Linked DNA regions of Anolis sagrei. The protein of the gene in region 2 purifies or fractionates together with the protein of the main gene of each other region. This does not show direct contact. Links are inferred from orthologs where the notes say so. Each region holds a gene or a part of one and is shown on either strand. Other genes may lie near its edges.

Evidence for each region. Proteins that work in one complex are often made in the same cells at the same time.
Region 1: the proteins of ITGA6 (region 2) and CD151 purify together in Homo sapiens (co-immunoprecipitation; 3 studies listed by BioGRID and IntAct, with this or other methods). This does not show direct contact. The link is inferred for Anolis sagrei from reciprocal best matches to the Homo sapiens genes ITGA6 and CD151.

The regions. Positions count from the first base shown.
Region 1 is NC_090021.1:241,272,375-241,279,389, reverse strand, and holds the start of CD151 (CD151 antigen), read right to left. Parts: upstream 3,021-7,015; 5' UTR 2,840-3,020; intron 1-2,839. UniProt on the Homo sapiens protein: Structural component of specialized membrane microdomains known as tetraspanin-enriched microdomains (TERMs), which act as platforms for receptor clustering and signaling.
Region 2 is NC_090021.1:193,438,604-193,445,774, forward strand, and holds the start of ITGA6 (integrin alpha-6), read right to left. Parts: upstream 3,004-7,171; 5' UTR 2,891-3,003; coding exon 2,724-2,890; intron 1-2,723. UniProt on the Homo sapiens protein: Integrin alpha-6/beta-1 (ITGA6:ITGB1) is a receptor for laminin on platelets. Integrin alpha-6/beta-1 (ITGA6:ITGB1) is present in oocytes and is involved in sperm-egg fusion.

The sequences.
Region 1 (7,015 bases), about 48 Mb from region 2:
AACAGGAAGTGAGAAAAATCTACCCCTTGGAAGGGAAGTTCACCCCTGAAAAAGTTATCATGGGGAAAAGGTGTCTCAACTGAAGTTTTCTTACCAATCCTTGTTACTAAGCCACATTTTTCAAAATCAAATTACTACAGGGACAGAAAGTGAGGTGACATCTTCTCAACAGGGGAACATACAGCAAAACAAACACCACAGGGCTGTTAACCCTTCCCTATGCTAGCCAAAGTTGTATGTATATGCATATGTGTGTGAATGCATGTGTGTGTGTGTAGGCAGGAGTTATACTTTAAAATTTACCTGTTCCGGCTTACATACAAATTCAACTGATGATCAAACCTACAGAACCTATGTTGCTTGTAACTTGGGGACTTCCTGTACAGCCATCCTTCCTTCCTCATTTGGTGAGGTTAAGGGTTCAGGACACCTATGAAAGTGGAAACACTTGGGGACTTTGTAAAACTTTGTAACTGGGGGACTGTCTGTGGTTCTTAACCTGGGGTCCCCAGATGTTTTTGGCCTTCAGCTCTCAGAAATCCCAGCCAGTTTACCGGCTGTTAGGATTTCTGGGAGTTGAAGGCCAAAAACATCTGGGGACCCCAGGTTGAGAACCACAAGCTTGGCTAGGTGTGGGCAGAGAAAGATTACACTGGCCACACATATTTTGGTGCCTCAAATGTTAGCCCTGTTTCTCTGTAGATTTGACCTACTGATTCCAAAGATGGCACAATTTTTTTCTCATTGGATCTAGTTTTTGAAATACAGAATAATAACACCACCAACAACAACTTTATTTTTGTACCCTGCCTCCATCTCCCTGAAGGGACTTGGGGTGGCTTACATGCTCGAGATTCCACATTTATATAAATAAAAATGTAATGTTTGTTTGTGGGATGAACATAACTCAAAAACCGCTGGGCAAATTGACACCAAATTTGGACACAATATGCCTATCAGGCCAACGAGTGACCATCACTCATAAAAACTCCCTCCCACACCCCCCCCCCCCCACTAAACAAAACACACAATAGCATATCCACACTCTCTTCCGGATGACAGCTCCCAGCATTCCCTAGACCAGGCCCTTTAGGAGAGGAGGATGATCCAAATGCACTGCTTCTAAGATACAAAGCTTTCTTCTCCCTAGATTTCTTTGAGAGCATCCCAATTCCTGCATATTTACAATTTCCTATTCCTGGAGTGCAACTCCCAGCAATCCTCCAGATAGATAGATAGATTAGATGGAGATAGGTAGGTAGGTAGATTGATCAAAAGGACTGGTGGGAGCTGCAGTCCAAGAATAGGTAGAGAAGGAAGAAATGAGAGAAAGAGTAAGGAATAGAAAGGGGGGAGGAAGGGAAGATCAAGAGAAGGAAGGAAAGAAGGAAAGAAAAAAGGGAAAGAAGGAAAGAGAGAGGGAAGGAATGAGAGAAAGAAAGGAAAGAAAGAGGAAGATTGGCCACAGCAATGCATGGTGGGTACAGCTAGTAGTTAAAATATAACAACAAAATTCACAAAAGCATCTCAACAGTATAGAAACAACCACGTGTGATACAATACATAGCAAACATCTATCTAGCAAGGAGTTTCTGTATATATTTCAGATTTCAATATTAATGTCAAAAATACGTAGTATGATTTTACATCGGATTTGTGCTACATTAGAACAGTAAAGACAAATACCACTTAAGTAAAATAAACATTAAATATTAAATAACCAGAAAAATAAGATCAGGTGGTCTGAGTAGTGCACAGTTCTGAGCTCAGGCGGCGGCTGGTGCAAATCCCTTGCAAAGGGGTTGGGGCTGATGGATCAAGTGCTGAGGGCAGATGACAAGATTAGAAACTTGGTGGCAATGTAAGGGGAGCACTATGTCTCTAAAAGGGATCTGATTATGGATCAAATTGGGGGGGGGCGAATTATTTGGGGAACTATTTATTTGGGGAATATGTACTATTTACCAGTCGCCATCTGCCTGCCCATAAGAAATCTTGACAACGATATCTAAGAGCAGGCACGGGCAAACTTGGGCCCTCCAGATGTTTTGGACTTCAACGGTAGGCTGTTAGGAATTGTGGGAGTTGAAGTCCAAAACACCTGGAGGGCCCAAGTTTGCCCGTGCCTGCCTAAGACACTAAAGGTGATGCGGTCTATCCAGTGGGCACCCTAAATATGGCAACCCCATGAATTTCATTTTTTTCCAGGCAGGGGATACTTGGGGTGGTTTTGCCAGCACCTTCCTCTGAAATACAGCCTATAGACAGGCATGGGCAAACTTGGGCCCTCCGGGTGTTTTGAACTTCAACTCCCCCAATTCCTGGCCTCAGGCCCCTTCCTTTTCCCCCTCCCCTTAGAAACCAGGAATGTTTTGTTGTTGGGCTGGGTGATCTTTCCCATTCCCAAAACAAAGCAAGGCAGCCCACCCAACGTAGACCGCCTGAGATTTACAAGAAGGGAAGAGGAGGAAAAACCCGCCGCAGGGGCAGAAGACCACACCTGGATCCCGAAATCATGAGTTAGAGATTCCCTCCCAGGGAGATTTTAAGAGAAATGTGAACCAGGTTAACCTTTGGCTGCTTTGCAATCTGACTCAACCCGTGGGCTGAGCAGGCCACTTCCTTGCCTCACAAAGACATCCGGAGAGACAAAGGGAGGCAAGGCGGGGGGGGGGGGGGGGGGACCCACTTTCTGGAAGTTTGCCGGGCGAGTCGCGGGTCCTTCCCGGCCTCTTGAAATGGGTCAAGAAGCCAGGCTGGATCCCCACCATGGAAAGAAGGGCCCCGCTCTCCCCTGCGCCCCCCACCTCCCTTCCTGCAGGGCTCCCCCTCGGCGCACCTTGTCTCCCGGCGAGTCCTGGCGCAGCGCAAAGGCAAAGCCGCTCCCCCGCTGCCTGCCTTCCTTCCTGCTCCTCTTCCTCCCAAGGCCAGCCAGCCAGCCCTCTTGGCGGATGGAGCCAGCTCGGGCCTCTCTTCGCCGCCGGTGGGGACGCCCAGCGGGAGGGAGCCCTCCTGGCCCCGCCCACGGAGCCCGGGAAGGAGAGGGGAGGGCGCCTTTGGGCCCTGCGAGGTCCGCCCCAAGGCCCCCAAGCAGGGCTTCACCCACGCTCGCCCCCCCCCCCCCCCCCGAGGTCTCGGCAGCCTTGCACAATCATCAAGGATGCTGGGAGAGGTCGTCCACAGGAGGACTAGAGTTTGGGGAAAGTGGGGAAAGGAAGAGGAGGAGAGGATGGCAGATGAGTCTGGCTCTGGGAGAAGAGGGCCCTGGTGGCCCGCCTAAGCATCCCAAAGCAGGGGTCTCAAACTCTCCTCTCCCCCTCTTCCTCCAGGTGTTTGGGACTTCATTTCTCAGAAACCTCAGCTGCCTTGACTATCGGGGATTCTGGGTTGAAGTACAAAACACCTGGAGGAAAGGGATGGAGAGGAGCTGGGTTCTAGGAAGGGTAAGAAAGATGAACCAGCTAAACACCCCAAAACAGGGGTTCCCAAACTCGCCTCCTGGTTTTTGGGACTTCATTTCCCAGAAGCCTCAGCTGCCTTAATTAACTGTCAGGGATTCTGGGAGATGAAGTCCCAAACACCTGGAGGACCACAGTCTGGCAGAGATCAGGAGGAAAGGGATGGAGAGGAGCCGGGTTCTAGGAAGGGTAAGGTGAACCAGCTAAATACCTCAAAGCAGGGCTTCCCAAACACTCCTCCTCCTCTTCCTCCTCCTAGTATTTGGGACTTCATCTCCCAGAAACCTCTGCTGCCTTGACTATCAGGGATTCTGGGAGATGAAGTCCCACAGTTTGGCAGAGATCAGGAGGAAAGGGATAGGGAGGAGCCGAGTTCTAGGAAGAGTAAGGTGAACCAGGTAAATATCCCAAAGTAGGGGCTCCCAAACTCGCCTCCTCCTCCTCCTCCTCCTCCTGGTGTTTGGGACTTCATCTCCCAGAAGCCTCAGCTGCCTTGACTAACTATCAGGGATTCTCAGAGATGAAGTCCCAAACACCTGGAGGACCACAGTTTGGCAGAGAGCAGGAGGAAAGGGATGGAGAGGAGACAGGTTCTAGGAAGCGTAAGGAGAACCAGCTAAATACCCAATGTTTAGCACTGCCAACTCGCAGAAGCTTCAGCTGCCTTTAGCAATCTGTTAAAGTTCTAGGAGATGAAGTTGAAAACATCTGGAGGACCAGAGTTTGGTAGAGAGAAGAAGTGACCTGCCTCAACACCCCAAAAGGCACCAGTCACCATCTGATCTCAGAAGCTAAAGAGGGTGAGCGCTAGTGAGTATTTGGATGGGATATTGCCAACAAATATAGGTGCTATACCAAGCATGGGCAAACTTGGGCCCTCCAGGTGTTTTGGACTTCAGCTCCCACAATTCCTGGCCTCAACTGAGGGGGAAAAGGAAGGGGTCTGAGGCCAGGAATTGTGGGAGTTGAAGTACAAAACACCTGGAGGGCCCAAGTTTGCCCATGCCTGTCTATAGGCTCTATTTCAGAGGAAGGTGCTGGCAAAACCACCCCAAGTATCCCCTGCCTGAAAAAAACAAACATGAGATTCGTGGGGTTGCCATAATAGTGGGTGCTCATAATGGAGGGATATAATCATGGTCTCTGGGACTTTTTAACTTCCTAAAAAACTTGGGAGGAGCAAGAATATAGTCAGGATTTTCTGGGGATGCCAAATTATTTAGGTACTTAGAACAAAAAAGGTTGCAAAGAGCGAAAAGGCTGTTTATACTGCAGGGATGTGTATTAAAATGTCTTATGAGGTTCATTTCAAGGCCCCTTCCACACAGCTGAATAAAATCCCACATTTTCTGCTTTGAACTGGGATATATGCAGCTGTGTGGAAAGGGCCTGAGAGTGAAATCTAGAAAAGGAGTTGGAAATAAAACTACCAATATATTTCCCTACAGAAATCTATGGTGAGACTTTTAAATTTGAAATACTGTGTATTTGGCCAGGGGACGCCTGGATGTGTTACCATCCTGTGGGAGGCTTCTCTCATGTCCCCACATGGGAAGCTGGAGCTGACAGATGGGAGTTCACCCCACCTCGCACATTCAAACCACCGACCTTCAGGTCAGCAGTTCAACCAGCACAAGGGTTTAACCCATTGCAGCACTGAAGCTTCTATCAAATCAGATAATCCACATTATCTGCTTTGAACTGGATTATATGAGTCTACACTGCCATATAATCCAGTTCAAAGCAGATATTCTGGATTTTATATGGCAGTGTAAAAGAGGCCTCAGAGAATAGCAAAGGCAGACCTCCTCTGAACAAATCTTGCCAAGAAAATCCTCCCTTCAGGCCCCTATAAATCGGACATAATGTGCCCACAAAAAAATAGAGAAATGAGTCAGATATTTCTCGCAGTACTAGAACCTAGGGTAATCTAATGAAACCAAATGTAATTGTAGATTAAGAATGGATAAAAAGTAGTACCGTATGACCTCCTTATCCTCAGGGGATATGTTCCAAGACTCCTATGGATGTCTTAAACTGTGGCTAATAGCAAACCCTACATTTTGACTATATTTCAGCAGGAAGCATATCATAGAATCACGTTGGAGAGAGAGGTCCGCCAACACTCCCAGGTAGAATATGTTTTGGAGCAGGGAGAAGTGAAACTGGATATCCACCCCATGGATAAGGGGATTGTATTGTATTTCTTTACATAGTGCATAGTAAAACTAGAACATTTGCTACCATCTTGGATGAGTATTTAAAAAGTTTAAAGTAATTTATGGAGCAAAGGGCTAAAAATGGCTACTAGGCATGGTGGCTATATATTACAGTCTCCAAATCAGTATGCCTCTGTGTACCTGTTGCTAGGGGACATAAGCAGGGAATACTAATGCATTCATTTCCTGATATGGCTTTCCGTTGGCATCTAATTAGCCGCTGTACAAACAATGTTAGACTAGATCAGCCTTTGCTCTGATTCTTTACAAAATTATGGTGATTACTGAGTGAAGGCAAGAGCTGTTTGCTGAACTGCAGCATAATTTACAGTGAGATTTCCAAATTAAAATTAAAATTGTTTTTTTCATACACGCCTTGGGCTTGAAATAAGCACTCAAAAAGTTATAGTCTCCAAAATACTTTGTATTTCTATTTTTTTTAATAAGTCCAGTATCCTTTGCTTTGCTTTGAAGGAGCTGGGGGTGGTGACGGCCGACAGGGAGCTCTGGCGTGGGCTGGTCCATGAGGTCACGAAGAGTCAGAGATGACTGAACGAATGAACAACAACAAATCCTTTGCTATTACGTTCTGCTGTCCTCTAAATACACTTGTAAAAGTGGATTGCTGCTGCTATTGCTATGCTACATTCACCACTGAACTTCACAATAAACATTAATAGTTTGTAGATAGTAATATTTTTAGTAGAAGGGATCGTAACTGAAATACGTGATATGTTTTTAATAGTTGTATTGAGGAACATTCTTTAAATGTGCAACTTGAGTTCATCTGCTAAAGCAAATGGCTTCATCTAACACTTTGGGGTAAATGATCCCTAATTTGCATTTACATTGTCAAGATTCCTGCTGATCAATGAGTGACCAAGAAAGCGATCTTAGTAGATAGCTCAATGATAGCATCATGTGCAGCTGCTATAAAAAGGCAATCTCTCTATTGGCTATAATTGTCTATTGGCTATCATTGTCTATTGGCTATAATCAGACCTCGTCACACTAGAGCATGAATCCACTTTAAATCCAGTTTCTGCCTCCTGCAGAATTCTGGGGCTTATAGTTTAGGGCCTTTAAATTGCTCAGCCAAAGAGATCCTGGGTCTCATAGAATCATAGAGACCTTGTGGGCCATCCAGTTGTCCAACCCCCTGCCAAGACGAGGGAAAATCGCCTTCAAGGCACCCCTGACAGATGGCCTCCAAAGAAGAAGCCTCCACCACACACCGGGGCAGAGAGCTCTCCGGAGCAGAACAGCTCTCGCAGTTAAGAAGTTCTTCCTAATGTTCAGGTGGAATCTCCTTTCCTGTAGTTTGAAGCCATTGTCCAT
Region 2 (7,171 bases):
TATACAGATTCCTCAGGATAATTTATGCTACAACACCTTTAAAACTCCCTCCCTGAAATGAAGTGCATAAACCAGCAACATGATGAAAAGAAACTGAAGTCAAAAGTCTCCTGGTCGCTCAAGAGAACCATATCTGAAGACACCACAGAGAAGGAAAGGCTTCCTCCTTCTCCTCCCACTGTGTTTCATCTTCTGCTCTCAGTGGTGGCACAGTGGTTAAACCCCTGTGCCGGCAGGACTGAAGACCGACAGGTCGCAGGTTCGAATCTGGGGAGAGGCGGATGAGCTCCCTCTATCAGCTCCAGCTCCTCATGCGGGGACATGAGAGAAGCCTCCCACAAGGATGATTAAAACATCAAATCATCCGGGCGTCCTCTGTCCTTGCAGATGGCCAATTCTCTCACACACTTGCAGTTTCTCAAATTGCTTCTGACACGACCAAAAAAAGTGGTGACGCAGTGGGTTAAACCCTTGTGCCTGCAGGGCTGCTGACCAACAAAACGAAGGTTCCAATCCGAGGAGAGTGGGTTGAGCTCCCTCTGTCAGCTCCAGCTCCACATGCGGGGAGATGAGAGAAGCCTCCCACAAGGATGGTAAAACATCAAAACATCTGGGCATTCCCTGGGCAATGTCCTTGCAGACTGCCAATTCTCTCACGCCAAAAGTGACTTGCAGTTTCTCAAGTTGATCCTGACACTGAAAAAAATCTTCAAAGCAGGCACATTCCACCAGAGCCTTTCCACCTTGGCATCCTGTCTTTTCAAGTTGCTTTTCCTCCCAGGACAACCACCTCATTGGCTTGTTTTGGGCCCGCCTTTTGGCGCTGGGTTGCTGAGCTGACCTGCGAGGCTCGCCTTCCCTTCAGGGGAGGCTGCTTGTGTTGCTCTGCCCACACAACACACACCCAACACACACACACACCCTGAAGCCTTCACATTCTTGGTTAAGGATGCCAAGCCTATTGGGCTGGGCTGTTTTGTTGTGTTTTGAATCTGCTTCGGAATCTTGTTTCTTTTAATATGGCGCTGTGTGAAATCAGGTAGCACTTCCGGAAAACAAACGTTTTTGCAACATCTACAACAGGTAGGGGCAAACTTCGGCCCTCCTGGTGTTTTGGACTTCAACTCCCACAATTCCTTATTGTGGGAGTTGAAGTCCAAAACACCAGGATGGCCGAAGTTTGCCCCTACCTGTTGTAGATGTTGCAAAACCTTTTGCTCGACGTTAGTTAGTAACCAGACAACACATTCCTCACAAAGCGCGGGAAAGGAGGGAAAAGAGCTCTGTGGAATTACCAACCGAGCCTCGAATACCGGGTTGAAACTGCTCTAAATGGAAAGCGTAGATACTAGGGTCATAGCTCTCAATGCTTGATCAGTCCCATGATTTTGCCTCCATTCCTCATCTGTTGTTGTTGTTTTTTTCTCCTCAGATCTGAGCATGCGCTTGCAAACAGGTGGCTTCTCCGAGGTTTCAGTTCAAATAAAACAGACGCAGCCAAACACTTAAGCACGACTTCCAGGGTTTTGTTTTTTTCCCCTTGTCAGGAGCGACTTGAGAAACTGCAAGTCGCTTTTGGTGTGAGAGAATTGGCCGTCTGCAAGGACGCTGCCCAGGGGACGCCCGGATGTTTTGATGTTTTACCCTCCTTGTGGGAGGCTTCTCTCAAGTCCCCGCGTGGGGAGCTGGAGCTGACAGAGGGAGCTCATCCGCGCTCTCCCCGGATTGGAACCTGCGACCTGTCGATCTTCAGTCCTGCCGGCACAAGGGTTTAACCCAGTGTGCCACCGGCGTTGGAAGGTAGGGATCAAGGCCCCACTCCGGCGGAAGTGGGTCCAGCCTCTCCCCTTCCCTCCTTCCACACCTCCCTTCCCAGAGATGGAAAAGGCGCGACTCAAAAGCCAAAAGAGTTTGGAGCCCAAGTTTCCAATCCTACACTCACAGAGAGCCCCCAAAGGCCATCCAGTCCAACCCTTTTCCCTGCAGGGAAAGAACAAGACGATCCCTTCAAAAATGCCAGCCTGATCTGCTTTTAGAAGTCCAAAAAAGCTCCCAAATTGCAACGCCTTGGTGGGACTGGTTCTAAATATAGGGGAAAACTCGTGGTTAGAGTGGGTCCAGCCTAAAAAGGATCAGGTGAGACTCAGGGCCCTTCCACACAGCCCTATATCCTAGGATATCAAGGCAGAAAATCCCAGAAGATCAGCCTGGAACTGGGTTAACTGAGGGTCCTTCCACACAGCCATATAACCCAGAAGATCAAGGCAGAAAATCCCCCAATATCTGCTTGGAACTGGATTATCCGAGGGTCCTTCCACACAGCCATATATCCCAGGATATCAAGGCAGATAATCCCACAAGATCAGCCTGGAACTGGGTTATCTGCGGGCCTTTCCACACAGCCATATAACCCAGAACATCAAGGCAGAAAATCCAATATCTGCTTTGAACTGACCCTTCCACACAGCCCTATATCCCAGGATATCAAGGCAGAAAATCCCACAAGATCTGCTTTGAACTGGGTTATCTGAGTCCACACTAATGTGGGGTTTCCTGCCTTGATGTACAAGGTCCTGGGAGCTCCCAATGGCCACCGCCATCCACGCCAACCTGGGCACTCAGGTCTGAGTTGGGCAGGAGTGAAGTCCAGCCAAGCAGCCTCTAGAGGTATGCAAAGGCAGAGACCTCTCTATCTATGTGTACACTCTGGTGCTCCTACTCACAGCCTCCTCTCCTGCGGCTCCAGCTGCCGGTGCATGGCCAGGGAGAAGCCGAAGAGGCTTCCGGGCTCGCCGCTCCACAAGACCACATTGCCGACGTCCAGGTTGAAGGCGAGCGCCAGCCCCGGGAGGAGGGACAGGTACAAGGCGGGCGGCGGCCGAGGCAGCATGCTTAAGGGTCCCTGGAAGGGCCGGAGTCCCGCGGAGGAGAAGAAGAAGAAGAAGAGGCCCCGGGCTCACGGCTGCCTCCCTCTCTCCCTCCCTCCCTCTGAATGAGCCCCTTGTTCTCTCCAGAGACTCGCTCCCAGTGACGAAGGAGGGGCCGAGCTCCGCCCCCACAAACAGGCGCCGCCCCCTTGAAACCTCGCCCCCAACCTCGCCTCGCACTCTGGAGCAGACCCACGAGAGTCAGGCGGATCCACTGCGCGGTCGGCGCTCCTCCAGGGACGGATCCCAGGGCTTGTTGGGGGTTTCAGGTGGGAAAGCAAAATCTACTTGGCAGCTCCCGTGTGGACGGGAATCAACCACACTATGATCATAATATCATAATCATAATAATACATTTTGGGTTGCTGTGACTTTTCCGGGCTGTCTGGCCATTTCCCAGAAGCATTATCTCCTGACGTTTCGCCCACATCTGTGGCAAACATCTTCTGAGGTTGTGAGGTCTGTTGGGAACTAGGCAAGTGGGATTCATATGCATGTGGAATAATGTCCAGGGTGGGAGAAAAGTATATGTATGACTTTTCCGGGCTGCGTGGCCATGTTCCAGAAGCATTCTCTCCTGACGTTTCGCCCACATCTATGGCAGGCATCCTCAGAGGTTGTCAGGTCTGTTTGAAACTAGGCAAGCGGGGTTTATATGCATGTGGAATAATGTCCAGGGTGGGAGAAAAGTATATGAGTTTTCCAGGCTGCGTAGCCATGACCCAGAAGCATTCTCTTCTGACGTTTCGCCCACATCTATGACAGACATCCTCAGAGGTTGTCAGGTCTGTTTGAAACTAGGCAAGTGGGGTTTATATGCATGTGGAATAATGTCCAGGGTGGGAAAAAAGTATATGAGTTTTCCGGGCTGCGTGGCCATGTTCCAGAAGGATTCTCTCCTGACGTTTCGCCCACATCTATGGCAAGCATCCTCAGAGGATGTCAGGTCTGTTGGAAACTAGGCAAGTGGGATTCATATATCTGTGGAATAATGTCCGGGGGGGGGGCGGGGGGGGGGGCGGAAACAACTCTTGTCTCTTTGAGGCAAGTGTGAATGTTGCAATTAATCACCTTGATTAGCATTGAATAGCCTTGCAGCTTCAAAGCCTGGCTGCATCCTGGCTCAAAGAACTGAACTCACGGTGGTACCAAAGAATAAGTCCATTAACTCCTCTATGTGGCAGCCTTTTGACTATTTGGAAACCACTGTCTCTCCAACCCCCTCCTTTTATGTCCCTTCACCCAAAGAGGGTTGATTGACAGGAAGAGAAGGACGGGCCTTTTCTGTGGGAGTTGTGGAATTCCATCCCACTGAGGCGAAGACTAGCTTCACCCTTCATTGCATGTGAAGTGAACCATGAAAATATTATTTTTCTGCTTGGGATGGCATGATCCTTAAAATAGGTTTTAATTCTAATGCTTTTAATATATAGTTTTAATCTAGTGTTGATTTTTATGTTTTATTCAGTGTTATTCTTTCTTTGTAAGCTGCTTTAGAGGAACTTGTTGGAGTTGAAAATCTTATCCACTGGGATACGGTTCCAGTATGCCAAAATTTATGTATACTCAAGTCATTATATGCAATGACATAGTTCAGTGGTTCTCAACCTCCCTAATGCCACAACCTCTTAATACAGTTCCTCATGTTGTGGTCACCCCCAACCATAACATTATTTACGTTGCTACTTCATAACTAATTTTACTACTGTTATGAATCGTAAGGTAAAATATCTGATTGCAGGGTGTATTTTAATTCACTGGACCAAATTTGGCACACATACCTGATGCGCCCAAATTTGAATAGTGATGGGGTGGGGGTGGGGATTGATTTTGTCATTTGGGAGTTGTAGTTGCTGGGATTCATAGTTCACCTACAATCAAAGAGCATTTTGAACTCCACCAATGATGGAATTGAACCAAACTTGGCACACAGAACTCCCATGACCAACAGAAAATACTGGAAGGGTTTGGTGGGCATTGACCTTGAGTTTGGGAGTTGTAGTTCACCTATATCCAGAGAGCACTGTGGACTCAAACAATCATGGATCTGGACCAAACTAGGCACAGATACTCAATATGCCCAAATATGAACACTGGTGGAGTTTGGGGAAAATAGACCTTGACATTTAAGAGTTGTAGTTGCTGGGATTTATAGTTCACCTACAACCAAAGAGCATCCTGAACCCCACCAATGATAGAATTGGGCCAAACTTCCCACACAGAACCCCCATGAACAACAGAAAATACCATGTTTTCTGATGGTCTTTATCAACCCCTCTGACATCCCCTCCCCACTCACCCAGGCGTCCCTACCCCCAGGTTGAGAAATGCTGGAATAGTAAAATTGGGTTCCCTTCTATAAAATAGCAAAATTGAAGTGTATGTGTGTGTGAATATTTACTAGACGTGGAAGGTTGAATACTTGGATATGGGGATTCTCTCATATGTGTGTTTATTTCTTACCATACACAGTTTCAGTCCCCTTTTGCCTTCACAATAATCATGAAAGGCTATTTCAAAGACAGCAGCTCTCCCATGGTCACACATTGAGCTTCAAGGCTGAGCAGTAATTTGAACTGGGATTTTCCCATCCTTGGCTGCCCTTCGAATCCCCAATCTGTACAACGCATTGGCTGTTAATGAGAGCTAGGCCACAACATGTCTCATGAATGAGCTCCTTGTGCTCGCTCAAGCCAAAAACCCAAAGCCAACATGAAACTCTGAGTGGTTCCACATCCTTTGCTAATAGGTATATCGGTGTTGTGTTGACCTTTTCTGCTGCAAATGCCTAAGGCAGTTTTCTCCAACTTGGCATCCTGTGTTTCCCAGTGTAATATGTCTTTTTCAAAGTTTTTAAGGTGTTGTATTGATCTAATGGAACTATTCCATATTACTTTATTGTTCTTTTAATTGCACGTTCTTCATTGTTTTAATATTCTGAATAGTTGAATAAAGACAGTCCTTATGCTCTTAAGTTGAATTTGTATGTAAGTCAGAACAGATACATTTTAAAGTGTAGTTCCATATGTATTGCTGGAGCATGTAAAATCAGTTAGTGAGTGTGTTAACTGAGAAAGTTAATTGGTTGGGCTACACCCAAGAAATTAGCTGAGTCTGGGAGTTTAGGCAACAGTTACATTTTAAGGTTTTCTGTGCAAGAGCTTACCAAGGCAGTTAATATTTTCTGCTTCTGGGCTGCTAGAAGATGATCCTTCATATGGACACCTAAAGACCATTTGAATCTCTCTCAAAGGACATTGTGTGAGTCAATGTAACTGTTCACATGACTATATATATGTTGCTCTGCATAACAAAGAGTAAACACCTTATTCTTTACTGATCATCAGCATATCTTTTCTCTAGCAAGACAGTGTGTGGACTGGTAAAGATGTGAACTACGCGTGATTTTCATTCCGCCACATATATTACCTTTAGATAGCACAGGGAAGGATTAACACCCTCTAGTATTTGTTTTGCTGTCTGTGCCTCTGTTCAGAAGATTTCTGGCTCTCTGATCATTGGATTTTGAAAATTTTGGCTTGTTGTGGAAACAAAGGTTAGAGATAAAGTGTCCGTGGAGGCACCTTTTCCCCATGATAACAACAAGGACTGAATTTCCCTTCCTAGGGGTAGATTTCTCTCATTTCATGTTGTCTCATCCCCATTCCTAACTAGGAGTCATTTGTAAGTCAAATGTTCCTAGCTTGGGAATAGCTTATACTAATGTTGAGTTGTTGTGAGTTTTCGGGACTGTATGGCCATGTTCCAGAAGCATTCTCTCCTGACATTTCACCTGCATCTATGGCAGGCATCCTCAGAGGTTGTGAAGTCACAACCTCTGAGGATGCCTGCCATAGGTGCAGGCAAAATGTCAAGAGAGAATGCTTCTGGAAAATGGCCAGACAGCCTGGAAAAGTCACTGCAACTCAAAATGAATTATTATAATTATGATTATGATTATTGTGATCATAGTGCGTGGCTGCACCCTGAGACATTGATTCCCGACCACACCGGAGCTGCAAAGTAGCTTACTTTCCCACCTGAAAACCCCAAAAAGCCCTGGGATCCGTCCCTGGAGGTGCGCCAACCCCACAGTGGATCACAACCTCTGAGGATGCCTGCCATAGATGCAGGCGAAACATCAGGAGAGAATGCTACTGGAACATGTCCATACAGCCCGGAAAACTCACAACAACCCAGTCATTCCGGCCATGAAAGCCTTCGACAATACATTGTACTAATGT